Linked DNA regions of Macaca mulatta. The main gene of each other region encodes a partner of the protein of the gene in region 2 in a complex. Links are inferred from orthologs where the notes say so. Each region holds a gene or a part of one and is shown on either strand. Other genes may lie near its edges.

Region 1 (3,500 bases), on a different chromosome or scaffold from region 2:
AAGATGGTGAAACCCCGTCTCTACTAAACATACCAAAATTAGCCAGGCGTGGTGGCATGCCTGTAATCCCAGCTACTCGGGAGGCTGACTGAGGCAGGAGAATCGCTTGAACCCAGGAGGAGGTTGCAGTGAGCCAAGATCACAACACTGCACTCCAGCCTGGGTGACACAGCGAGACTCCGTCTCCAAAAAAAAATTAAAAAAAATAAAAAAAAAACTCCTGGTGAGCCAAGGCAAGGCTCTGCCTGTGCTCTGCACACCCCTTCCAGGCCCCCTGCAGCCGCTGGGAGGTTTGAAGCAGGGTAGTGTTATTCAAAAGAGCAACTCCTATGAACCCGAACTTCCAAACTGCTGTTAGACTTAATGTACCTCATTTACAATGATTTCACTCTGGCTGTGTGGTTTATGGAAAGTCATTTTGAGAGAAGTATTTTAAGTTAAGTAGTTTAACATACTGGAGAAAAATTTGTCTTTCAAACATTCCCATTGTCTTTGGGTGCTAAAAAGAAAAGGGCAAATTTATTAGGTCCCTAAAAGTTTTGCCAGTTATTGGCTGGAAGAATTTCAGAAAATTGACTTGAAAAGAACAATCCTGGCCGGGCGCGGTGGCTCAAGCCTGTAATCCCAGCACTTTGGGAGGCCGAGACGGGCGGATCACAAGGTCAGGAGATCGAGACCATCCTGGCTAACACGGCGAAACCCCGTCTCTACTAAAAACACAAAAAATTAGCCGGGCGAGGTGGCGGCGCCTGTGGTCCCAGCTACTCGGGAGGCTGAGGCAGGAGAATGGCGGAAACCCGGGAGGCGGAGCTTGCAGTGAGCTGAGATCTGGCCACTGCACTCCAGCCTGGGCGACAGAGCGAGACTCCGTCTCAAAAAAAAAAAAAAAAAAGAAAAGAACAATCCTATTTCCCATGCAGGCACCATCCCTGAGGCGGCATGGACCTCGCACTGTGAGAGGCCTGGGCCTGAGCTCCTGTAACTCTACTGACGGAAAAGCAACTGCCCGTCAGCATCGTTCTGTAGTTCTCTCTCAAATGGAGAACAACCCTGCAGGGGTCACTCCAATCTATAGATGGGAAACTGTTGCCTGGCCGGGCTACCTAGCTCACCCAGCACATCCAGAACCCTGACTGCCAGGCCTGGACTCTCCTCCCACATGCCACTGCATGCGCCACCACACGGCGTGGTCAGTGGGGCCAGTGGATCCCCTGTGGGGAGCTTCTCCTCCATCACACGTGTGCAGAGGCAGCTCTGGGTAGTGAGAGCTTTGCCCTGAGGAGCTCTGCGCACGCACACCCGCTAGCAACACATGGCTCTGCTCCTGGCTGCGCAGAGCAGCAGCCTTTGGGAAAAATGTCTCTCAAGTACATTCCCCTTTAAGTTAAAACGTACAGCTACTTTGTTTTTGTTTTTACCTGTTGCAAAACCTTTTCCGTGAATATCTCTTGGAGTCTGGAAATCTCAACCACTCTCCCTTCGATTTGCCTTCATAAAAAGAAGAATAGATTACATATTAACTATTAGTACTTGGTAATCTAACAGGACTGTTACACATTTCTAAAGAAATCCTGTCTTCTACATGAAGGTGGGAGAGACGGGGGAGCATACCATGTTGGCTGGGGGAAGAGATTGGAGAGGAAGGCAAACTCTCCTTACTGGGTCACCTTCCCTGTCTCCCGGTGTAGCCTAGCACGCTGGGCTTTTTGGAAGTCCACTCTACCATGCCAACTGAGCCCAGTCCCAAGAGGTGGGGGTGGGCAGTGCCCTTTGCATTCTGTGTCACTGGTCAAGGACCAGGGAGGGTCTGGTTATGCCCCAGTTACAGAAAGCAGTCTCCAGTAAGTTCTCTGCCTAGCCTTGTCACCATGGTAACACATGGTGGGGATTCAGAAGGTCAGAATATGCTGATGATCCTGCTTTGTTACTGCTCAGCGGGTTAAAGAAAAAAGTGTATTTACCCTCAAACCAACTCCCTGTTCCAAGAAAAAAGCTCCTCTGATTCATTTAGAAAATGCCATGTCTTGGTTTGGCAATGGAGTGTTCTGTCGGATCGGAAACACTTGGGCTAGCCATCTTCCTGGTGTCAGGGGCAGCCTGGGCTACCCTGGGGGACAGGTCGGGGCCCATCTATTTACAAACGGAAGCTGGCCCAGGCTGAAGTTAACTGCTGTTCCAGCACAAAGCAGCGACAGGAAGTGGCAGGAGGCGAAAAGTGGTGGGAGCTGAGCTCCTGGCCAGGTGGAAGCAGACACGAATCCCAACAGTGTCACAGTGGCAGGAGGGCAGGGGAGGAGATGGGGGAAGAAAAGCCCGTGAGTATCTGGGCATGGGGGAGTAGCGGGGACGGACAGTGAAAGGTAGGCTGTTGGAGGAGGACTAGGAGGTCCATCTGAGGGCAGAAGGCGAAGAGCCCCTGGGAGGCTGACACCTACACTGAGAAAATCCTCAGGCTGTGTGAGTGCAGCATCAGGATTGATTTGATTTGGGGGACATGTCCACAATACAACAGGCTCTGCAAAGTCCTGGGCCTTACTTTCAGCATGCTGCAGGCCTTCCCACAGAAACTAGAGTTCAGTGGGTGCACGTGTGGGTGACCAAGGCCTTGCCTTCTGCATTCCTGACCCCCTAGTGGGTACAGGAGCAGGCAGACCCCAGTGGAGCCATTTGCAAAAGAGGGCTTCCCTTGGTCAGCTGTCCTTCACGAGGGCCCCATTTCATTTCAGAGTCGCTGCATGGAAACAGCCCAAATGGTGGTGGAAATTACACGCAGGTAATCTGCAGTCACTCCTGCATCTCTTGGGGTAGAAAGCATCTGGGCCCCCCGCAGCAGTGGCAGCAGGCGGGAGGTAACCCACAGGCCCACAGGCTGAGGGAGTTGTAGATTCAGGCCACATGCCCACCCCAGCCCTGTCAAAATGGCTGAGGGGGGCTGCACCAGCCCAGGGGCCCCATGTGGATGCCTGGGCACCAAGGTAAATAACGTTCCTAGTTCCTGGAAAGTTGTAAAGCAGGCTCTCAGCTCACAGAGGAGCTACAAACATACCTCACTTCATCAAACAAGCTGTTCATTTCACCAATGAGTCGCTGATTTTCCTGTTCAAACTGCGAGGAAACAAACACACTCAGGATGACATCATACTGAACTCAGGCAAGCGTCTAACAAGAAAGCGGACCTGCGCTCCAGGAACCACTGGCGAAGCCCCCATTTCCAGCTGCAGCAACATGGTGGCCGGTGCTGGATGACCGAGAGCGTCAGTGTGAACAACGTCCCTGCTCTCAGGAGAAAATTTTAAAACACAGCTGTGCTGCCTGGTAATCGACTTTTCCATCTCAACCACTGCACTCCAGGGGTGCAAGCTGACTGCTATGGCTGTAGCTGTATCTACTTATGCGCTCTCCCCTGGGCTCCCACGGCCAGCTTCCTGCCTCTGGTACCATTATTAAAAAAATTCTTTTGCTGTTGTTTTCTCTCATGAAGTATACTGAAGGACTACACA
Region 2 (4,156 bases):
ATTACACATTGTATACATCTACTGAGGTATCACATGTACCCCACAAATGTGTATAATCATTATCTGTCAATTAAAATAAAAGCAAAAAATATCTTATTATAAGCTGTTAACAAGGTAACTGCATTAAGAAACTACACTTTTACTCTACATTTCATTTTCTGATGTGACAATTTACACCGTTTTATATTGTATATCACTTAAATTACATTGTAGCTCTTGTTTTTAAAAAATTAAAAATTAAAATTAAGTTAAATGAAAAATTCAGTTCCTCGGTCATACTAGACACCTTTCAAACGTTCAAAAATTCTGTGTTCCTAGTGGCCAGCAGCTTGGACAGCTCATTCACAGACCACGTCCATCATCACAGAAAGAGCTATTGCACAGTGCCAATCTCCACATCTCAATAATCATCTTTCTATGAAGATACACAAACACCATAAAGAGAAAAACAGGAAGGGAGAATCAAAGTGCAACACTCAGATAAGCGTCTTCTCAAGACTGCTTCTAAAGAACACAAAAGAATGAACAAAGGGAACGTTAAAATGTAATCTTAAAGTGTCAAAGACTACTCCCAGTTAAAATCAGATACACTGTAGAATCCTTAAGATTTCCATTTAGCATATATCTCATGCTCTATAAATCTACTCTGGGCAAAGAAGGGGTCAATTTCACTTTCTTAATCATTAACATCAGCATAAACAACTGGACTTCTCTCTACCCTCTACCCCAAATAAGTTCTGACGGGTGGGGGGTGAGCATTTTTTTGCCTGTTTTGTGGATTGCACTATTCTCAGTGCCTGGCTACATCATAAGTGCTTAACAAATATTTGTAGAATGAATGAATGTACCCACTTCCTAAGAACACACACCCAGCGTGAGGGTAAATATTACCATTTCTAAAACATAAAATTCCAGTGCCTTCTTTCAGATCCCGAAGGTCGCAGGCTCCTTGCTGCCTTAGGCCTTTGCTGGGTGCCATTTCCTATTTCTAGAAGGCTCTTCTCATGATCTCCATGTGACTGGCTCCTTCTCCCCAGCAAGGCCTCATCACATGCTAGAGAAACCTTTGTGACCACTCTGATCTGAAAGTGAGAACTCACCACAGGCCACTCTTTGTCAATCTAACTTACTGCTTCACAATACTCAATAGTCTAATTAGTTACTGTTTATTATTGATCCCTACACCTCTGGAATACAAACCTTTATTATTGATCCCTATACCTCTGGAATACAAACAGGAGCTACTTCTGGAATATAAACAGGGGATAGATGACCTTGTCATTCTGTGTAATCTACAGTGCCTGGTGCATACTAAATGCTCAAGGAACTGTCTACATAAGTATCCTCTGCACAAACTACATTAACTGCATTCTTTGGCCTTAGATCTTCCATCACTGAACTCTTGTACTACTTGGTTTTAGTTCACAATATCAAGGATTATTTTTTTCAAACTTTCACACACGAAACTTGCAAATTAAATGGAATCACAGTAAACTTTACTCAGACTTACTGTGGATATTTTCTATAATTTACTTTTCAATCATCAGCACTTAAAGTTTGGGGTCATAATCAAAATGAGAATTGATTTTGTTATCAAGAGCAACATAAGTAACATATCCGAGGAAAAATGATGATGTTAATGACTTAATATGGTATCATATTAACCTCTGCAGACACTGTGAAGTTAAGAGCATAATTCTTAACTAGTCACAAGTCTGAGGCCAACTTCTCAAAGTGGCCTATAAGGCCTGGCCACATCACAAACACAGTTTAACACCATTATCAGCCTCTGCCCAGGTGTGCTCAGAGAACCTGCAGAAGAAACGCTCACTTCCAACATTATTAAATAGCACAGCATTTCATAATTACTTTCTTTTCTTCCAGATTCTGGGCAAGTTTTATATACTATATATAATTATAGTTAGAATACAACGATCTGAGGTAAACAAAAATTAACGTATATAGATAAGAGTCAAGCAAATGTGAGAAATTTGTGGGAAAAAAACACACAGCATTTGATCAGAAATGCAACTTTTTTTTCTTTGTCTGAATTTAAAGAAAGTAAGTAACTAAAAAACAAGGTGGAGGAAATACTAGAAATACTTTATGTATGTTTAAAGGTTTTTATGTAAATTAATTAAACGTGTATACTAAGAATGTCAAAGAAAGTATGTTAAGTCATCAAGCCAAATAAAACAAATACTACGAGCCACTGAATAAACAAACATACACGGTTTGTCTGCTACAGCCATACATTTTTCAGTTCCTCTATATTCGGGAAGTTTAAAGTGTGTTTTTCAATCCATGAGTTGAAAAGAGGAAGAGGTCATTTGGTCGTGTCTGGATTCCTGAGCTGGGCCCCAGCCGGGTCTGGCGCCGGCCACGCCGTGCGCCTCGGGAGCGCTGCCCATGGGACCGCGGCGGGTGCGTGGCTGGCCAGGCCCACCTAACCACAGCCGCGCACTCCAGGAATGCGGAACGCGCCGCGCCCCTGCACCCGGCCTGGGGGTATGGGGAGCCGCAGGCGCTCCGGGAGCCGGGGCAGTCCGGCCCTTCCTCACCTACCGAGTGCCTGCTGCAGAGCGCAGGGCGGCGGCCACCTGACCACGCGCACAAACAAGGAGGAGCGGCGCCGCAGGGGCACCGCGCCTCCCTGTCGCACGGCCAGGAAACCCCCCTCCCCAGGGTCCTCTTACCTGGACCTCGGTGGCTCCCTCCTACACCTCCGACCACCGTCACCCACCGACCCCCGAGCCTTCAGCTGCAATTCTCAGCTGATGGGCGGTGGCGTGGGGACGCCCAATGCGCATGCCCGCAGCACAATTCAAGGAAGAAGGCGGGGTTCACCCCTTTTCTATTGGCCCGCGGGGCTGAGTGACAGCGGCCCTCACCGCCCCTTCGGTTCCAAGCTAAGGAATGGGAGTATCAGCAAAATTGCAAGGGAGCTGTTCTTTGAAGCCTGACGTAGAGATGGTGAACGCCTCTTAGCCTGCGTGCAAAAAAGCAGAGGACAGAATGGAGGACAGTTGTCTTCTTTATCTGGTGAAGCCTTCTTGCACGCAGGTCTTCACCCCGCCCCTTTAGCTCCTGCCTATCTTGTTTGCTAACCTTTAACTGCAGTAGATCGCGTTCACAGCTCTATCGAAAAATGCAAAGGCGAATACACAATCCTAGCGGGAACAATGAAGGAATAAGTGAAGAGTCATCTCTGGGTCCTCACTTAGTAAACAAGTTTTCCTAGTACGTACAAGTCATTCGAAGCATTCCTGAAAAGCAGGGCGTAGTTTTCACAGGGTTTAAAACAAGCAGAGACTGTTCCAATGATAAATATGCAAATATAATATAATTGTTAGATGAAAAGCATCAATTGCTACAAATGAAAGAAAGCCCTCACCAAATTAATTAGAAGATAGATTGGCTTAGCCTTCGCCTATATTAAGGAAACACTATTTTCTAAAATGATTACCCGGATATGTGATATCAAAAGTCCAGATGCACTTAGGTGGAAAAAAGCAAAACCTAGTATAGAATTCTGGTTGAAACTCACCAACACTAACTGTGGAATGTTATCTGTTTAAGAGAGATGGACAGAGAAAGAATAACCCAGAAAAGGAGTAACCCACAAGATAGGAAATAAACCAGGAAAAGGCAAACTAGAGAATGAAGGGAAAAAAGAGGGAATGGTCCATCATGTCATCTGTCACAGAAAGTTCAAGTAAATAAAGAACTGAAAGTAGTGCATTGTACTTGAGAATTAGGAAGTGGCTGGTGAACGTAGGAAGAGACATTTCAGTCGTTGAAGGAACTCATGAAAGGATCTTACATCTGTGTGAGGTTTAGTGCACTTTCCAAATACCATTCATATTATCTTTGATAGACCTCTGGGCTCTGGGAGGGGAAGGTACAATGCACTACAGAAGAACCTGAGATTAACTGGCCTCTTCAAGTTGCCCTGATAGTTACTGACTATGCTGGGACCAAAACTTAGCTGTCTGAGCCCTCATTCTGGGCTTATTGCAATTTCTTGCTTTAAAATATGTTATGAATGGATTCCTTCCAGGTCTTTTGAAAACTTAAGAATAAGATTTCATCCTTTGGTATTTAAATGGAAAAAAATAAATATGTCTAGACAACCTTGCAAAATTTAGAAGTATTA
Region 3 (4,189 bases), on a different chromosome or scaffold from region 2:
AAACCCAGGAGTGTGATGGATTGAGGTAGTGAACAAATGAATAGGGTAGAAAGAAGGTAGAGAAGAGAAAGTATTTGAAGTGGCCTCAGGGTTTCAAAAATTCCAAGGATAATGGTGTTCCTGCCATCCACTTGTTGACACAGCTGGCAGTGTTCTGCACGCAAAAGTTTCTCGTTTTTACCTGGACAGCAGGTTAGTACAGAGTCACCCTCACTGTCTTAAGTGTTTACTGCTCCCATCAGCTGGTGTTTGAAGAACCCAGACGGCTCTCAAGCAGAGGATACACCCAGGACTGAGCCCCCTTCATTGACAGATACTCAGCATCTCAGTTCTGAGAATACCCACCTGTATTCTGTGACGCAACTGTTGAAATTTCTCTTTTACTTTAGTGTTCAGTTCAGTAAGAGCACTTAAGGGTCCTGAACAATCACGGATATCCTAGGAGACATTGAACAGATGAAAGGCCTTTCTTAAGGCAATGAAATGAAATGACACCATCCATACAGTGAGAGAGTTGGTTTAGACCAACTAATATTAATGTACTGATACTGACTATAATTCATCCTGATCTTTGCTGTTTACCTCTGCAACACAAGCAAAAACATTATCATTGGCATTTTTCTCATTCCTCTTTAGATTAATGTTGAATTAATATAAAAGCCTAGAAAGAAACACAACTGCTTTGACCTAATTTTTAGTGCCTAAATTTTAACAAAACATTACCTGGCCAGTATGAAAAAGCTTAAAACAGCTTATATGCCCAACAAGAATGGACATGCGAAAGTAATACTATAACTTTAGAACCTTAGATCCTTTCAACTTGTAAGATGAGGATGTTTAAAGATCTGGCCTCATATGATGAGATTAACTTTTTCAGTGTGATTTTACAAACCGTCAGTGATATTTAGAGTGTTTATATAAACATGTTTAAGGGCAGATTTAGAATCTGTTGCTGGACATTCAGAATTACTGGTGCCAGTTTTCAGAGCAGGCTCTGGAGACAGACCATGTGGATTCGAATCCTGGCTGTAGCAACTTATTAGCTGTGTAAAGTTACCTGGAAAGTTATTTAAATTCTCTGTGTCTCAGTTTCCTCATCACAACCCTACTTACCTCAGAGAACATCATAGATTATGTGTGTATGTAAAGCACTTAGCAGAGCTGCTGGAACACAGTAAGGGTGCACTACATCCAGCTATAATCAATCTTTCTCATCAGCAATCACAAGAACCCAAATGTTAGAAAGAGTACAGAAGGGTGCCTAAGCAATTTAGATTATGTGAAAATGTGATTTCATTTGTATGAAACCTAAGTTTATTTTTCTATAACTGGCCCAGAAGTTTTGTAATGTATACATCAGAGAAGTGAAGTTCGAGAAGTTTTAAATATCTGCATCAAATTTCACTTTTTCTCTGGTTATTAATTTAATCACACTTCTTTGCACCATATTTGTTTATTCTGCATCTAATTTGGTTTATTCTGCATCTGGTTTATCTGGGGAGCCCTACTTTCCTGCACTTTTTGCCACCCCTCGTTACAAACTCTGAGTCTACATCTAATGTTTAGTGACTTTGTTGAAAATGATTTGCTTTAAAAACCAAGGTTTAGGCCGGGCGCAGTGGTTCACACCTGTAATCCCAGCACTTTGGGAGGCCGAGGCGGGCAAATCACGAAGTCAGGAGATCAAGACCATCCTGGCTAACACGGCGAAACCCCGTCTCTACTAAACAAAATACAAAAATGAGCTGGGCGTGGTGGCGGGCCCCTGTAGTCCCAGCTACTCGGGAGGCTGAGGCAGGAGAATGCCATGAAGCCGGGAGGCAGAGCTTGCAGTGAGTAGATCGCGCCACTGCGCTCCAGCCTGAGCGACAGAGCGAGACTCCGTCTCAAAAACAAACAAAAACAAAAAACAAAACAAAACAAAACAAAAAAACAAGGTTTAAAACTCTTGGTTTCTTTTTGCTAAACTCATGGAACCGTGTCTACATTCCTAATTCTTGTCTACGTCAACTCGTTTATTTTACCTCTACCCTTAAATGGCTTAAGGCGAAAACACCTCATTTCCTCTCTGTTCAAACGGGGTAACACTCTAAGGTGTTATTCCTAGGTTGACTTTCCCAGTCCAGGTCCCAGTTTTGCCATTGACCCAGGCCTGCCTTCTAACCTAGGCCTTGGCGCCGTATTCGATTTCCTCAAGCATAAAATCACAACTACGGTCCAGGTTACATTCGTTTCACCTGGTGCCTCCCGAGCCAGGTGCCCTTGGATGCCAGGGGAGCTGGCCAGCAGGGGGCGGGGCTAGCTGCCTACCGGGCGCTACCAGAGAATGGGGAAGCAGCGTCAGAGGGCGGGGCCAAGCAGGGTGGCAGGTAGGTTGTGAGGAGGTCAGGGGCGGAGCGACGACCAGGACTGCAAGTGGAAGTGGCAAAGCCGAGCCTCGAAGCAGTAGCTGGGTCAGGGGCGGAGAACAGTTGGGTGCTCTGGAGATGGGCGATCCGGCGGCACCCGGAAAAAGGATCAAGGCCAGCAGTCACGGGGACACAACCAAATGGGGACCAGGGCGGGTAGCCGGTCATGGGGCGGAGCCGGTGGCCTGGGAAACCAAGTGGGGAAAGTTCGGGAGTGACACTACCGAGCTCACAGACCAGCAGAGCTTGGGTTAGGGCTGCTGGAGCCTGGCAGGGGTCCCGGGATCAGTACCTGAATAAGCGCCTTCACCTCCAGGTCAAATTTGACAATCTCTTGGTTACAGATCCGGACGTGGACATCTTGGGGAGCCGCCATGTTGGGGACGCCGGTTACGGGCGGCGGCAGGGCCCAAGTTCAAACGCGTTTTCGCACCGCCTTCTCGCCCTCCCCGCCCAGTCTCGGGGCAGCGCCCCCTAGAGACCGGCGAAAATGGCAAGCTTGGGTCCCTGCCGCAGAGTTGGGACTTTCCCTGACACGTGTAGGGAAATCAGCCTCTCCTCTTGGTATGGCCTTAATACCATGGAGAGGAAGAGAAGAGGGAATATCAATAATGCTTCACAGTGGTCTCTTTCCATCTTCCTTCTGTCAGGCATTCTAATAACTATGTATTTTTTGCATAGAAAAAAAAGACTGGAAGAAAAGTATCAATTGAGATGTCTCTGGAAAGTACAAGTGACAATTTTTTGTTTCTTCAAACTTTCTTATATTTTTAATATTTTCTACAGTGAGTATAAATTGTGGAGTAAAAGAGAAAATGATAAATGTTATGTATTTTTTAAAGTATGGAGTTCAGTAGAGTCAGTAGAGTACTTCCTATCACTCCAACACATGATCTGAGGGATCTTTGTAAAACACGAAATTGATCAAGTCGCCTCCCTGTATGCAGCCCTTCTATGGCTTCTGGTGGTTCCCTTTTGTATACAACTGGATTTATTAAATCTACCTTGCTGGGGTAGTTTTGATGGATTTACGTAGTTTTGATGGATTTACGTAGTTTTGATGGAAATGTCAGAGGAAACCCTCAACAAATGGTGGCTCTTTTATTTTTGTTAGTAAATAATCCAAGTTTCTTAGCTGGTCCTCAAGGTCATCAGCCACCCCACCCTGCGCCCTTCCTGGATTGCTCAAGCTCTTTCTGGATGTGTAGCCTTAGAATGTGGTGTTCCCTCTCCCTGGAAAGCTTTTCCCCGACTCGACCCCACTCCATCTGCTTTTGTTCAGGTCACTTCAGCAAGAATAGATTGTGAGGACCTAAATGCTTAGGACCTGAATGTTCATCTCTCTTAATCCTCACAACCACCCTTGAAATTGCACTACACTAGTATCACACTTCAGGAGATGAGCTGAAAGTAGATTAAAATAACCACCAATCAACCCTGTCGCAAGATTACCTATCTTGAAAGTGGCACAGCCTCTACTGAAAGCCATCTTTTCCCCAAAAAATCAATATGGCTCCCACCTGTTGTAAGCAGGGCTCTGTGCTTGTCTGTGTTCCTACAGGCCTCTACACACCCTCTCGTAAGGTATTCATCACCCCACTGCACCTAATAGAGAGGCAGTGTATCCCAGGCTTGGCATCTGCCTGGGCTCAAATCCTGTCCACAGCACTGCATGCCTGTGCTTCAGTCTCCTCAGAGGCTAACTGGTGATAATCAATAGCACCTACTTCACAGATTGGATAATTAAATGAGATAATACATGAAAAGCACCAAGCACAGTG
Region 4 (3,500 bases), on a different chromosome or scaffold from region 2:
TGAAGTGCAATGGCGTGATCTCAGCTCACTGCAACCTCCGCCTCCTGGGTTCAAGTGTTTCTCCTGCCTCAGCCTCCCAAGTAGCTGGGATTACAAACATGTGACACCATGCCCGGCTAATTTTGTATTTTTAGTAGAGACGGGGTTTCTCCATGTTGGTTAGGCTAGTCTCAAATTCTCGACCTCAAGTGATCTGCCCGCCTCAGCCTCCCAAAGTGCTGGGGTTACAAGCACCTGAGTAAGTATTTTTTTGTTTGTTTGTTCATTTGTTTTTGAGACGGAGTCTCGTTTTGTTGCCAGGCTGGAGTGCAGTGACATGATCTGGGTTCACTTCAGCCTCCGCCTCCGCGTTCAAGCGATTCTCCTGCCTCAGCCTCCCGATTAGCTGGGACTACAGGCGTGCGCCACCACACCCAGCTAGTTTTTGTATTTTTAGTAGAGACAGGGTTTCACCATGTTCGCCAGGATGGTCTCCGTCTCTTGATCTTGTGATCTGCTTGCCTCGGCCTCCCAAAATGCTGGGATTACAGGCGTGAGCCACTGCACCCGGCCAAGTAACTGTATTTATTTATTTATTTTGAAACGGAGTCTCGCTCTGTCACCCAGGCTGGAGTGCAGTGGTGGGATCTCAGCTCACTGCAGCCTCCAGGTTGAAGCGATTCTCCTGCCTTTGCCTCCTGAGTAGCTGGCACTACAGGTGCATGCCACCACACCTGCCTAATTTTTTGTATTTTTAGTAGAGACGGAGTTTCACCATGTTAGCCAGGTTGATCTCGATCTCTTGACCTCGTGATCTGCTGCCTCAGCCTCCCAAAGTGCTAGGATTAGAGGCGTGAGCCACCGCGCCTGGCTGAGTAACTGTATTTTTAAATATTTTTACTGATGGGTGGGCATGCTGGCTCACACCTGTAATCCCAGTACTTGGGAGGCTGAGGTGGGAGGATTGTGCGAGCCCAGGAGTTCAAGACCAGCCTGGGCAATATAGCAAGACCCTATCTCTACAAAAGTTAAAAATTAGCTAGGTGCGGTGGCGTGCCCTGTAGTCCCAGCTACTTGGGAGGCTGATGTGGGAGGATCGCTTGAGCCCAGGATGTCGAGGCCGCAGTAAGTTACGATCATGCTACTATATTCCAACCTGGGAGACAGAGTGAGACCCTGTCTCAAAAATAGTAAAGTTATAAAAATGTGTTTTTCAGCTCATGGTAAAGCTGCTTTTCTATATGATCTCCAAGAACTTTGCAGTCATCCTTATTGATTTCCTGATTTGAGGAATAGAATGGCAATACTAGCTACCATTTATTTAGTGCTTACTATGTACCAGGTAGTTGACTGAAGTACTTTTCAGCCTTTTTGTTATTTAACCTTAGCAACAACAATGGGAGATGTGTGTATTGTCTTCGTCTTATAGAAGAGGAAATAGAGATTCAGAATGTTTTAAGTAACTTGCCCCAAATCCCCCAGCTAGTAAGTGGTAAGTCAAGATTTGAACTCAGATCTACTTGTCTTCAAATCTGGACTCTAAATGACTTCCACTCATAAGTCTGGATCATCTGATGGATGCCACTAGTGCTAGAGATAGTTTAGTGGACTCCTCAGGAAGAGTGAAAGCTGGAACTGGGGAAGGGAGAACTAAAGTTGTCACTTCCTGCCATTGCTTTTCAGAATGGAATCCAGACAAATAAGCCAGCTTTGCGTGCTGTCCGACAACGCAGTGAATTCACCCTCATGGCCAAGTGAGTTGAGAGAAGCTTTCTGGTGGGGTGCTACAATGTCTGAAGAAAAGTAGACTTGCGATCAGTGGCCTTGGCTGTGAAGTCTGGGGTTGGTTGTGCTGGACCTTATGTGGGAAAAGGCCTCCTGCCCTTTCCCACAGTCTCACTAGTGGTCATTTGCAGGCGCATTGGGAAAGACCTTAGCAACACATTTGCCAAGCTGGAGAAGCTGACAATCTGTGAGTGTTTTTGGGGTCTTTCAGAAGTGGGGCAGTAAATCAAAGAGGACTGAGGGCTATATTCCCTGAGTTTTGTCGTTGACCTCACCCATTGTGGCTTCTTGTTTGTCTCTGTAGTGGCAAAGCGCAAGTCCCTCTTTGATGATAAAGCAGTGGAAATTGAAGAACTAACATATATCATCAAACAGGTGAGCTACTAGCCATCAGGAGAGCCCAGCATTCCAATCAGATCACTTCTGTCTTCCTGTCATTTTCCATTGCCATGGGGACCCAGAGCAAGTTTCTTTTTTTAGAGAGGGGGTCTCACTGTGTTGACCAGACTGGAGTGTTGTGGTGTGATCCTAGCTCACTATAGCTGTTAACTCCTGGGCTCAAGCTATCCTCCAGCCTGAGCCTCCTGAGCGGTTGAGACTATAGGGACGTGCCCTCATACCTGGATAATTTTTTTTTTTTTTTTTTGAGACAGAGTTTTGCTCTTTTGCCCAGGTGGGAGTGCAGTGGTGTGATCTTGGCTCACTGTAACCTCCACCTCCCAGGTTCAGGCTATTCTCCTGCCTCAGCCTCCCCCATACCTGGGACTACAGCCACCTGCCACCAATGCCTGGCTAATTGTTTTCTCTTTAGTAGAGAAGGGGTTTCACCATGTTGGCCAGACTGGTCTCAAACTCCTGACCTCAAGTGAGCCGCCCACTTCGGCTTCCCAGAGTGCTGGGATTACAGGTGTGAGCCACTGCACTCAACTGTAATAACATTTATTTATTTATTTATTTATTTATTTATTATTTTTTGAGACAGAGTTTCACTCTTGTTGCCCAGGCTGGAGCACAGTGGTGTGATCTCAGTTCACCACAACCTCTGTCTTCTGGGTTCAAGTGATTCCACTGCCTCAGCCTCCTGAATAGCTGGGCACATGCCACCGTGCCCAGCTAATTTTGTATTTTTAGTAGAGGTGGGGTTTCTCCATGTTGGTCAGGCTGGTCTCAAACTCCTGACTTCAGGTGGTCCCCCCACTTCAGCCTCCCAAAGTGGTGGGATTACAGGCGTGAGCCCCAGCGCCAGGCCAATAATAACTTTTCTTTTCTTTTTTTTTTTTAAAGATGGTGTCTTACTCTGTTGCCAGGCTGGAGTGCAGTGGTGCGATCTAGGCCTACTGCTACCTCCACCTCCCAGGTTCAAGTGATTCTTTTGCCTCAGCCTCCCAAGTAGCTGGGACTGTGGGACTATAGGCATGCGCCACCACACCCAGCTAATTTTTTGTATTTTTAGTAGAGATGGGGTTTCACCATGTTGGCCAGGATAGTCTCAATCTCTTGACCTCATGATCTGTCTGCCTTGGCCTCTCAAAGTGCTGGGTTTACAGATGTGAGCCACTGAGGAATTGTGTGTATAAATATAATTCTGTTGATGCCTCTTGAAGCTACAGTGCCTTTGACTCTTCCCTTTTCCTGAGTGCTGTCCAGGGGCTTTGTTGGTCATGCTCTAGACCCAAGATTTTGGCCTTTGAAAGGGTTCTGTGGCCAAGAGCATGGCCTCACAGAATGGAGCAGGG
Region 5 (4,009 bases), on a different chromosome or scaffold from region 2:
TACACAGTCACAGGACCCAGAAGGATCCCACCCAGTGGCTAGGCCAAGGCTGCAGTCCACTCCTTCATCCACAACCCGTTCTCCCCAGGGGTCTCACTTCATCCGCAGGACTGGAGAGTAGGCACAGAGAACTCACAGCAGGGTGGCCCGCACTGGTCTCCTGTGCTCAGCAACCATGGCCAGGAGTAACTGCCATCTCCAGGCTGAGAAGCCTCAGTTGGAGGAGATAGCACCCACTTAGGGTTCACAGCCCCTTCCTGTGTCAGTTCCAGGAACCTTGGATCACAGACATGGCCTCATCCAGACAAGGACACGACCGTGGAGCCTTCAGATGTCAGCGTCCCAAGAGCTGGGAGAAAGGCTGCAGGCCACAGGTGGCCACGCCTGGGATTCAACAGTTGCTCTGCTCAGACCTGGCTCCTCCAGACACGCTGCGGCCCCAGCTCTGCTTGTGTCTCTAGCATCTGGGGAAGGGGGGAGGGGCTGGGCCTTGGTTTCCCCGAAAGAGTCCCTTCCACACATGGGACCAGCCAACATGAGCTCATCAGGTCACAGGCAGCCGCAGCCTCCTGCCACACAGAAAGGATTCCTGGCCCACGATTATAATTTCAAAGGAGTACTTTGCAGGTAAGTCCTCTGGAGCCCAAGATGCCAGGCAGGGAAGACAATGGCTGCCCTTGGCACCCACAGACACCAGCTCCCACTGTCTCACGTCCTTGCCCTCGACAAGAAGTAGGAGAGGATGAAGAAGGCCACAATCAGACCCACAGCCATGCCACATAGAAGCTTCCGGTTGTCTCGTCCGGACCTTGCCATTGCGGAAAAGCGCTTCACACTCCCTGTAAGCAGGCCGGTCATGCTTGTGAAATCCGAGTCCTAAGGGAAGAATCCCGGCAAGATCACACAGAAGTGGTGATTTGACCACCCACCCGCACCAGTGCTGAAGGAGACACTGCAAGCTCTGTAGCAGGTAGTGCTGGGGGCAGGGCACTGATTCGCGCACACCGTGGGCCCTTACCATGCCATCCAGGTACCGGTTCTGATCCTCTGCATCCCTATCGATGTCCAGGGCGAGCTGTTCAGCACACAGAGAGGGCAGGGTTGGGCCAGAGCAGACACATAATACAGCACTCACCCTTCCCAGACCAGACAAACCCTGCCAACAACTCTGCCAGACACAGTGGGGCAGCAGCAGGAAGGTCCAGGTGTCAGCTGGGGCCTCATGCAGGTGAGCACAGCCACGAATCGAACGAGGAGGACGGCAAACTGCCTGAAACTCCTCTGGGCCCTCTACCTTCCCTCTGATCCCCATTCCCCAAGGGCACCAGGTGGAGGTAAGAGGACAGACCACCACTGACCGATTTGAGCCTGGTGACTTTGGAGGCCAGGCTGTCGGCCATTCGCTTGTTCTCCCGGTCTAGAATCTCTTCCACAGCGCCCGGGCTCTGAGCTGAGAAAAGAGAGGGGCTGAGTGATTGCATCCATCGGGGAGCGAGGCCTCTGACCCCTCTCACTCCAACCACAACTGGGTGAGTCAGAAATCTAGGGGACCTAACCTAGGTTCCAGCAGGTGAATCTTGCACATGTGAGAGAGACTGCATAAAGGACGATGTGTGCAAGGGCCTGTCATGTGAACACGTGTCCTGTGTACACATCCAGGTGGGGATGGGCCAGCACCCACAGTGGGTTCAGTCCAACCAGCACCTTCTGAGACTGTGTAGCAAAAACTGGGCCCAGCTCTGGGATGTTAATAAGATGTGACACTTGCATCCAGGGAGGTCGCCATCTGTGTATGTGGAGCCCATTCTTATAGAAAAAGAGTAAACTCTGCTAAGAGCATAGGAAAGACTTGGGAAAAGTACCCAGCAGGGCAGCAGAAAGGCTCCTGCAGGGACGACCTTTGAGCTGGGTCCTGAAGAGGTGGCAAGGAACCAGGACAGAACATTGGGAAGGCCCTTTACCGCACAGAAAACAGCTGAGCAAAGTTCCCAATTCCGCGAGATGGGAGCTGAGGTCGACCAGGAGCGTGATCCCTGGTCTGCATCCCACACAGGGCTTCCTGCAACACCCAGAGCACAGCGCTTGCAGAGGCCCGGCCTGTGACAGGCTGGGCCAGGTGATAAGGAATTTCTGTCACCTCAGGTGGGTGAGAACCACCTTCTCCCTAGCTTCAACGTTAAGGAAGGGATGCCAGCGTCCTTCCAACCACTTCCTGTTCATTAATTCCTTTACTCATCATAACTCAGACAGGCATCAATATCCCACTTTGCAGAGAAGAACACGGGCTCCAGGAGGGGAAATGGGGCCACCGAGGCCCAAGTTAGTTAGCAGAGGCCTGCCTGGACACCAGCGGAGCACAGCCTACTCCGAAGGCCTGGCCTCGGGACCTGTCGAATGCCGAGACTCCCGCTCACCCTGAACCCATGCAAAACGATCTCACAGGGAGCGGCGGGGAGTGGGGGGACCCCGCAGCTGCGCGACCCCTCGCTGGAGCTGCTGGGCCGCCCCGCCCGCCGTCCTTCCTAGCGGCAGTGCTGGCCGAAACCCGGCCCTGCTGGGACCCGGAAGGATCCGAATCCGCCCCCCTGACAGGGTCCTCCCCGCCGAGGCCAGAGGCAGGCGCACGCGGCTCTACAGGCAGCGGCGTCGGTTCCGGCCCGGCCCTGCCCCCAACGGCTCCGCTCTCCCGCGCTCACCCCGAGCCCAGTCCGCCATCGTGCCCTGCCCCGGCTCCTCGACGCCAACACCGACGCGGCCACAGCCGCCTCAGACGTGGCGCAGTCACGGGGAACGGGCTTCCGGCCCCGCCCCCCGCCAGCGATGGCCCCGCCTCCGCGCCAACCACGCCCCTAGATGGCCCAGCCGCTTCCGCGTCGGGCTCGCTGATTTCCGGCTTAGGCCCGAGGGTGGGGAACCGCGGGGTCGCGGAAGCGATGGGCGTCGCTGTGACTTATTTTCAGCACTGTCGCCCAGGCAGTGGCGCGATCTCAGCTCACTGCAGCCCCCGCCTGCCGGGCTCCCAAGGTGCTGGGATTACAGCAGCACCGCGGATGTGACGTTTGTTTGTTGTTCCTGTGAACGTGGGGCGGGGCGGGGCCGTTTGCTTGCTCAGTGCCAAGACGATGGTGGTGGAAAGACGCTGCCATGCGTTAGGTCCTAACGGTTAGGAAGGATTCACAGGCGGGTCATGAGGGAGGAGTAGGCCCCTCGGGCAGAAGCCCGCGAGGAGCCCTGGGTGTGGAGGGGGCAAGGGTGCCTCCTCTGTCAAGTGGAGATCGGCGCCTCGCTAGTGCCTGCGAGTGCGCGCCGCGTCGAATACAGGTGTGCGGAAAGCGCTACAGGAAAGTGAAGCAGGGAAAGAGACTGGGAGGCGGCACGGGGAGTGGGGGCCGTAGACGCCTTTGCTCCCGGGCACTTGTTACAAGAGCCAGTGGACCGCGCTTCCTGTGCGTCACTGAATCCTCCTGATGGCCACTGAAACGGACACGCAGGATCTTTGCTTGTCAAGAGGGAACTGAGTCCAGGCCAGACTGCGTTGCTCCCCTTTCTCTCGGCCCCTCACGGCCCTTCCACCTTTGCAAGTGCTGCTCCTTCTGCCTGGAGTGGCTCCTCCAGTCTTTTCCCAGCTCGCTTCCCATCGTCCAGTGTTAGCAAAAACACCACTTCCTCACAGCCCTTGCAGCCCAGCAGTCACCTTTTGCTTCTTTTGAAGCACAGCCCTGTGACCGCCTCATGTCCTTTTGTTTTTCCTTGTCTGCCTTCCCCTCTGGAACATAAGCTCCACAAAGGCAGGGGCCTGGGAGTCCCGTTCGCCTGCATTCCCCAGCAAACGCCTAACGAACCCAATGGCCCGGGACTGAAAAGTCCTTTCCACTTCGGCTTTCCCGTCTACATCCCATCGGTTCTGTGGAGCTCGAGGGGCGTCACTGTGTGTGTGGCAGGGCGCGGTGGGGGCTGAGATCCTTTCCTGTTGGAAATTCCGGCCCAAGAAGCCCCGGTCACAAGGAGG
Region 6 (4,293 bases), on a different chromosome or scaffold from region 2:
TATTTTAATTTTTTTGAGATAGGATCTTGCTTTGTCACCCAGGCTGGAGTGCAGTGGCATGATCTCAGCTCACTGCAACCACTACCTCCCGGGTTCAGGTGATTCTCCTGCCTTAGCCTCCCGAGTAGCTGGGATTACAGGCGCCCACCACCACGCTCGGCTAATTTTTGTGATTTTAGCAGAGATGGGGGTTTCACCGTGTTGGCTAGGCTGGTCTCGAACTCCTGACTTCAAGTAATCCGCCCGCGTCGGCCTCCCAAAGTGCTGGGATGATGCTTGAGCCACCATGCCCGACCTGAAGACCGGCATTTATACCCATGGAGTGCAGGAAAGGACCTTGTAATTGTTAACAAGTGACACTTAGTGGCAGATGAGACCTAATGAAGCCAGGCCCACCTTCCACACCAGATTATAAATTCCCTCGGAGCAGAGAGTAAATGTTTTATTCACCAACATGCCCAGATCCCTCGCAATGCCTACGCTTGACAAACACCTGTTGTGAACAAGTGCACGAGGCAGCCTAGCAGCTAGAGTATTTCGAGGTCATCCTAACTGGGTTCCACTTTTGAATTTTTGTTTTTTGGGTTTGTTTGGAGACAAGGTCACCCTCCACTTGGGAGCAAAGTCTCCCAAGCTGGAGTGCAGTGGTGGGAACTCTGCAATCTCAACCTTGTGGACTCAAGTAATCCTCCTGCTTCAGCCTCCGGGGTAGCTGGGGCCAGAAGTGCGCGCCACCTTGCCCGGCTCCTATTTTGGGTTTCCGGTAGTGCTCTCGCTATTGTGACCAGGCTGGTCTCGAACTACTGGGTTCAAGCAATCCTCCCACCTCGGCCTCCCAAAGTACTGGGATTACAGACGCGAGCCACTCGCCCGGCCAAGTTCCACTTCTGAAAGCTTGGGGAGCAGCTGGGCCTTCCAGGAAAAGTGCTCCACCTCCCGACTGCAGGCAGAGCCCCCGGCCCGGCTCTTTCCAGGGCCTAAAGCTAACATTCGGTCAAGACGCGAAATGAGGAATTCGGGTCAGGGTGGCAAAGCAAAGCGCGATGACAGTGAGGACGACGTCTAGACGCAAACACACATCAAATCGGGCCGAAGCCCGCTGTCGCCTGGCGGGCTAAACCTGGCACCCCGGGCAACGCGCGACTCCGGCACCAGACGCTCTCCGAGTCAAACTACATCCCCCGGCGTGCACTGCAGCGCCCGCCCCTGGCCGGCCGGCGGGGCCTGGGAGGAAGGCGGCCGAGCTGCCCGTCCCGCAGGTCCCCTAGGGCCCTTTCTCTGCGGCCTTTCCCCACCCCGGACCGGGCACTTCTCGGGCTCTGCGACTACCATTCGCCCCGCTCGCTCCCTCAGGAGTCGCCTAGGCCGCGCAGTCTGCCGCCTTCCCGTCAGGCCTTCGCGCCGGCGCTCCCGCAATCACGGGCTAGAGAGGGTGGGCGTTCCGGCTCGGGAGGACCCTTCTGCGGCCCCGGAAGAGCCTCGTCCTGGGCAGCGGTGGTGCGGCGGTCGCCGTTATGGCCACGGGACTGGGCGGCTGACCGCCGGGCTAGGAGAGGGCCCAGAGCCCCGAATCTGGGTGGCCGCTGCTCGAGCGCGTCCTGCGCCATGGCCGCCTCCGCCGCCTCCTCGGAGCATTTCGAGAAGCTGCACGAGATCTTCCGCGGCCTCCATGAAGACCTACAAGGGGTGCCCGAGCGGCTGCTGGGGACTGCTGGGACCGGTGAGGCGCGGGTGGGCCACGCCGTGGGGAGCGCGGCCCCGCGCGCTTTGGAATTTTCCCCCACCTTCCTCCCAGACCCGGGCCCGCGTCTCCTTCCTCCGCGTCCTCAGACACGCCCCCTAGGGCTGGCTGGGTCGCAACCCCGGGTCTCCCTGCCACTGAGAGTGAATTGGGGACGCGCCCAGGGACGCGGGGTTCAGTTCCCTGGGTTCCTTCTATGGCCTTCCACATTTTCTCGTTTTTTTCCACTGCGGCAAACAGAGCAGAGGGGCTTTTACATCTGCGGTCCTGTAATGTAGCGTGGGTTTCTTTCGTAGCTGTTTTTGTTTGTTTTATGCATTTAGAAGCACTAGTGTCAAGACAGGTCTAGTTTTCACCAGACTGACAGAGGATCTGTAGCACAGAAAAAGGGTTAAAAACCCAAAAGAGTCATAATTTGGGGCGTTGGTATATACCTGTTATTGGAGGGTAGAGAGCTGGCCTTTAAAACCGTATGGTGGCGTTTAGATGTGGTCTTGTTTTGAACGTTTTTACTGCTGAGACTATTTACTACCCCTTCATTTCATGGTTCAGGTTGCTACAAGTTTTGTCTGGAGGAGCTAGAGTTTTCTGGCCCTAGATCCATAGGAAGACCTGCTATATATAGTTCTTGGCCTCCGGATATATAGAACTTGATGGCAAGGACAAAACTTTGTTTTATTGCTTTTATTTAAGGATCAGAGCTTGAGTGTTTGCTCAACGAATTACTCAAGGTCATAGGAATTGAATGACTCTGGTGAGAATGAAATGCATGTATTTAATATATATTTATTGTGAGGCTGCTGTGTGCCAGGCACTGTTCTAGGTGCTGGTGAATATTGCAAATTACAGTGAAAAAGACATGCACGTCCCCATTCTAGTGGGTAGGTGATAAACAATATATAACTATTAAGCGGCAGTGTTAAAGAATACAGGAAAATAAATCAGAGTAAAGGAATAGGGGATGGGACTTCAGTTTTATTTTATTATTATTATTATTATTATTATTTTTGAGACAGAGTCTTACTCTGTCATCCAGTCTGGAGTGCAGTGGTACGATCTCGGCTCACTGCAGCCTCCACTTCCCAGATTGAAGCAATTCTCCTGCCTCAGCCTCTGGAGTAACTGGGATTACAGTTGCGCCACCACCCCTGGCTAATTTTTTTTGTATTTTTAGTAGAGACGGGGTTTCACCATGTTGGCCAGGTTGGTCTCTAACTCCTGACCTCAAGCGATCCGCTTTCCTCGGGACTTCAGTTTTAAATAGGGCGGTTGTGAAAGTCCTCTGTGAGGAGATGGCATTTGAACTGAGACTTGAATGAAGAGAGGGAGTAAACCAGAAATCTGGGAGAAGTGAGTGTCAGAAGGAGGGAATAGCACTGCAAATGCCCTTAAGCGGAAATGAGCTTGGTGTGTTCAACGAAGAGCAGGAAGTTCCATGTGTTTGGGATGAAGTGAGCAAAGGAGAGAGGTAGGCAGGGCCAGATCATGTAGGGCCTTGTGGACCATGGTGAAAGACTTGTGCCTTTTTCTAAATATGATGGGATGCAGTTAAAATATATTGTGCAGAACCATTGTGGGATCTGATTTATGTGATTGAAAAGTTGACTGCAGGCAGGGCACGGTGACTCACACCTGTAATTCCAGTGCTTGGGGAAGCAGAGGCGGGCAGATCACTTGAGGTCAGGAGTTCAAGACCAGCCTGGCCAACATAGTGAAACCCTATCTCTACTAAAAATACAAAAATTAGCCAGGCATGGTGTCAGTTGCCTGTAGTCCCAGCTACTCAGGAAGCTGAGGCAGGAGAATTGCTTGAACCCAGGAGGCAGAGGTTGCAGTGAGCCGAGATCCTGCCGCTGCACTCTAGTCTGGGCAACAGAGCAAGACTCTGTCTCAGAAAAAAAAAAAAAAAGGAAAAGAAAAGACTGCAGGCTAGGCGTGGTGGCTCACACCTGTAATCCCAGCACTTGGGGAAGCTGAGTTAGGAGTATTGCTGTATTGAATGATTTTGAGAACAGCCTGGGCAACGTGGTGAAACGCCATCTCTACAAAAAATACAAAAATTAGCCAGGCATTGTGGTGCGTGCCTGTAGTCCCAGCTCCTGGGGAGGCTGAAGTGGGAGGATCACTTGCGCCCTGGAGCTGGAGGTTGCAGTGAGCCAAGATCGCACCACTGCACTCTAACCTGGATGACAGAGCAAGACTCTGTCTAAAAAAAAAAAAAGTAGACTGCATTTTCAACCTGGCACTGAGTTAATTTTTGCATTGCCCATTTCTATAAGGCTAAATAATGCAAAAGAACATTGCTTGAAAAATAGAAAATTGAATTCATTATTACTATGGTTTGAATGTCCCCTCTAAAACTTATGTTGAAATTTATTTGCCATTTTAATCGTGTTAAGAGGTGGGACCCATAAGAAATGATTAGACCATGAGGGCTCCATCCTCAGGGATTGGATTGTTATCCTGAGAGTGGGTTGGTTGCTGAGAGAGTGGGTTAGTTCAGCCCTCTCCTGCTTGCCTGCTCTCTTGATCTGTTGCTCTTCCACCTTCTG

The links.
Region 1: STX7 (region 2) and STX18 share a complex: the UniProt entries of both Homo sapiens proteins name them as parts of the SNARE complex. The link is inferred for Macaca mulatta from reciprocal best matches to the Homo sapiens genes STX7 and STX18.
Region 3: STX7 (region 2) and BNIP1 share a complex: the UniProt entries of both Homo sapiens proteins name them as parts of the SNARE complex. The link is inferred for Macaca mulatta from reciprocal best matches to the Homo sapiens genes STX7 and BNIP1.
Region 4: STX7 (region 2) and STX5 share a complex: the UniProt entries of both Homo sapiens proteins name them as parts of the SNARE complex. The link is inferred for Macaca mulatta from reciprocal best matches to the Homo sapiens genes STX7 and STX5.
Region 5: STX7 (region 2) and BET1L share a complex: the UniProt entries of both Homo sapiens proteins name them as parts of the SNARE complex. The link is inferred for Macaca mulatta from reciprocal best matches to the Homo sapiens genes STX7 and BET1L.
Region 6: STX7 (region 2) and VTI1B share a complex: the UniProt entries of both Homo sapiens proteins name them as parts of the SNARE complex. The link is inferred for Macaca mulatta from reciprocal best matches to the Homo sapiens genes STX7 and VTI1B.

What each region holds. Positions count from the first base shown.
Region 1 is NC_133410.1:8,565,425-8,568,924, reverse strand, and holds part of STX18 (syntaxin-18), read right to left. Parts: intron 3,106-3,500; coding exon 3,047-3,105; intron 1,489-3,046; coding exon 1,419-1,488; intron 1-1,418. UniProt on the Homo sapiens protein: Syntaxin that may be involved in targeting and fusion of Golgi-derived retrograde transport vesicles with the ER.
Region 2 is NC_133409.1:37,533,228-37,537,383, forward strand, and holds the start of STX7 (syntaxin-7), read right to left. Parts: upstream 2,801-4,156; 5' UTR 2,697-2,800; intron 1-2,696. UniProt on the Homo sapiens protein: May be involved in protein trafficking from the plasma membrane to the early endosome (EE) as well as in homotypic fusion of endocytic organelles. Mediates the endocytic trafficking from early endosomes to late endosomes and lysosomes.
Region 3 is NC_133411.1:182,025,713-182,029,901, reverse strand, and holds the start of BNIP1 (vesicle transport protein SEC20), read right to left. Parts: upstream 2,801-4,189; 5' UTR 2,785-2,800; coding exon 2,701-2,784; intron 439-2,700; coding exon 346-438; intron 1-345. UniProt on the Homo sapiens protein: As part of a SNARE complex may be involved in endoplasmic reticulum membranes fusion and be required for the maintenance of endoplasmic reticulum organization. Also plays a role in apoptosis.
Region 4 is NC_133419.1:11,227,362-11,230,861, forward strand, and holds part of STX5 (syntaxin-5), read left to right. Parts: intron 1-1,662; coding exon 1,663-1,733; intron 1,734-1,895; coding exon 1,896-1,951; intron 1,952-2,068; coding exon 2,069-2,139; intron 2,140-3,500. UniProt on the Homo sapiens protein: Mediates endoplasmic reticulum to Golgi transport.
Region 5 is NC_133419.1:81,260-85,268, forward strand, and holds BET1L (BET1-like protein), read right to left. Parts: upstream 2,801-4,009; 5' UTR 2,716-2,800; coding exon 2,697-2,715; intron 1,451-2,696; coding exon 1,359-1,450; intron 1,076-1,358; coding exon 1,019-1,075; intron 877-1,018; coding exon 709-876; 3' UTR 84-708; downstream 1-83. UniProt on the Homo sapiens protein: Vesicle SNARE required for targeting and fusion of retrograde transport vesicles with the Golgi complex. Required for the integrity of the Golgi complex.
Region 6 is NC_133412.1:140,848,895-140,853,187, reverse strand, and holds the start of VTI1B (vesicle transport through interaction with t-SNAREs homolog 1B), read left to right. Parts: upstream 1-1,493; 5' UTR 1,494-1,605; coding exon 1,606-1,720; intron 1,721-4,293. UniProt on the Homo sapiens protein: V-SNARE that mediates vesicle transport pathways through interactions with t-SNAREs on the target membrane. These interactions are proposed to mediate aspects of the specificity of vesicle trafficking and to promote fusion of the lipid bilayers.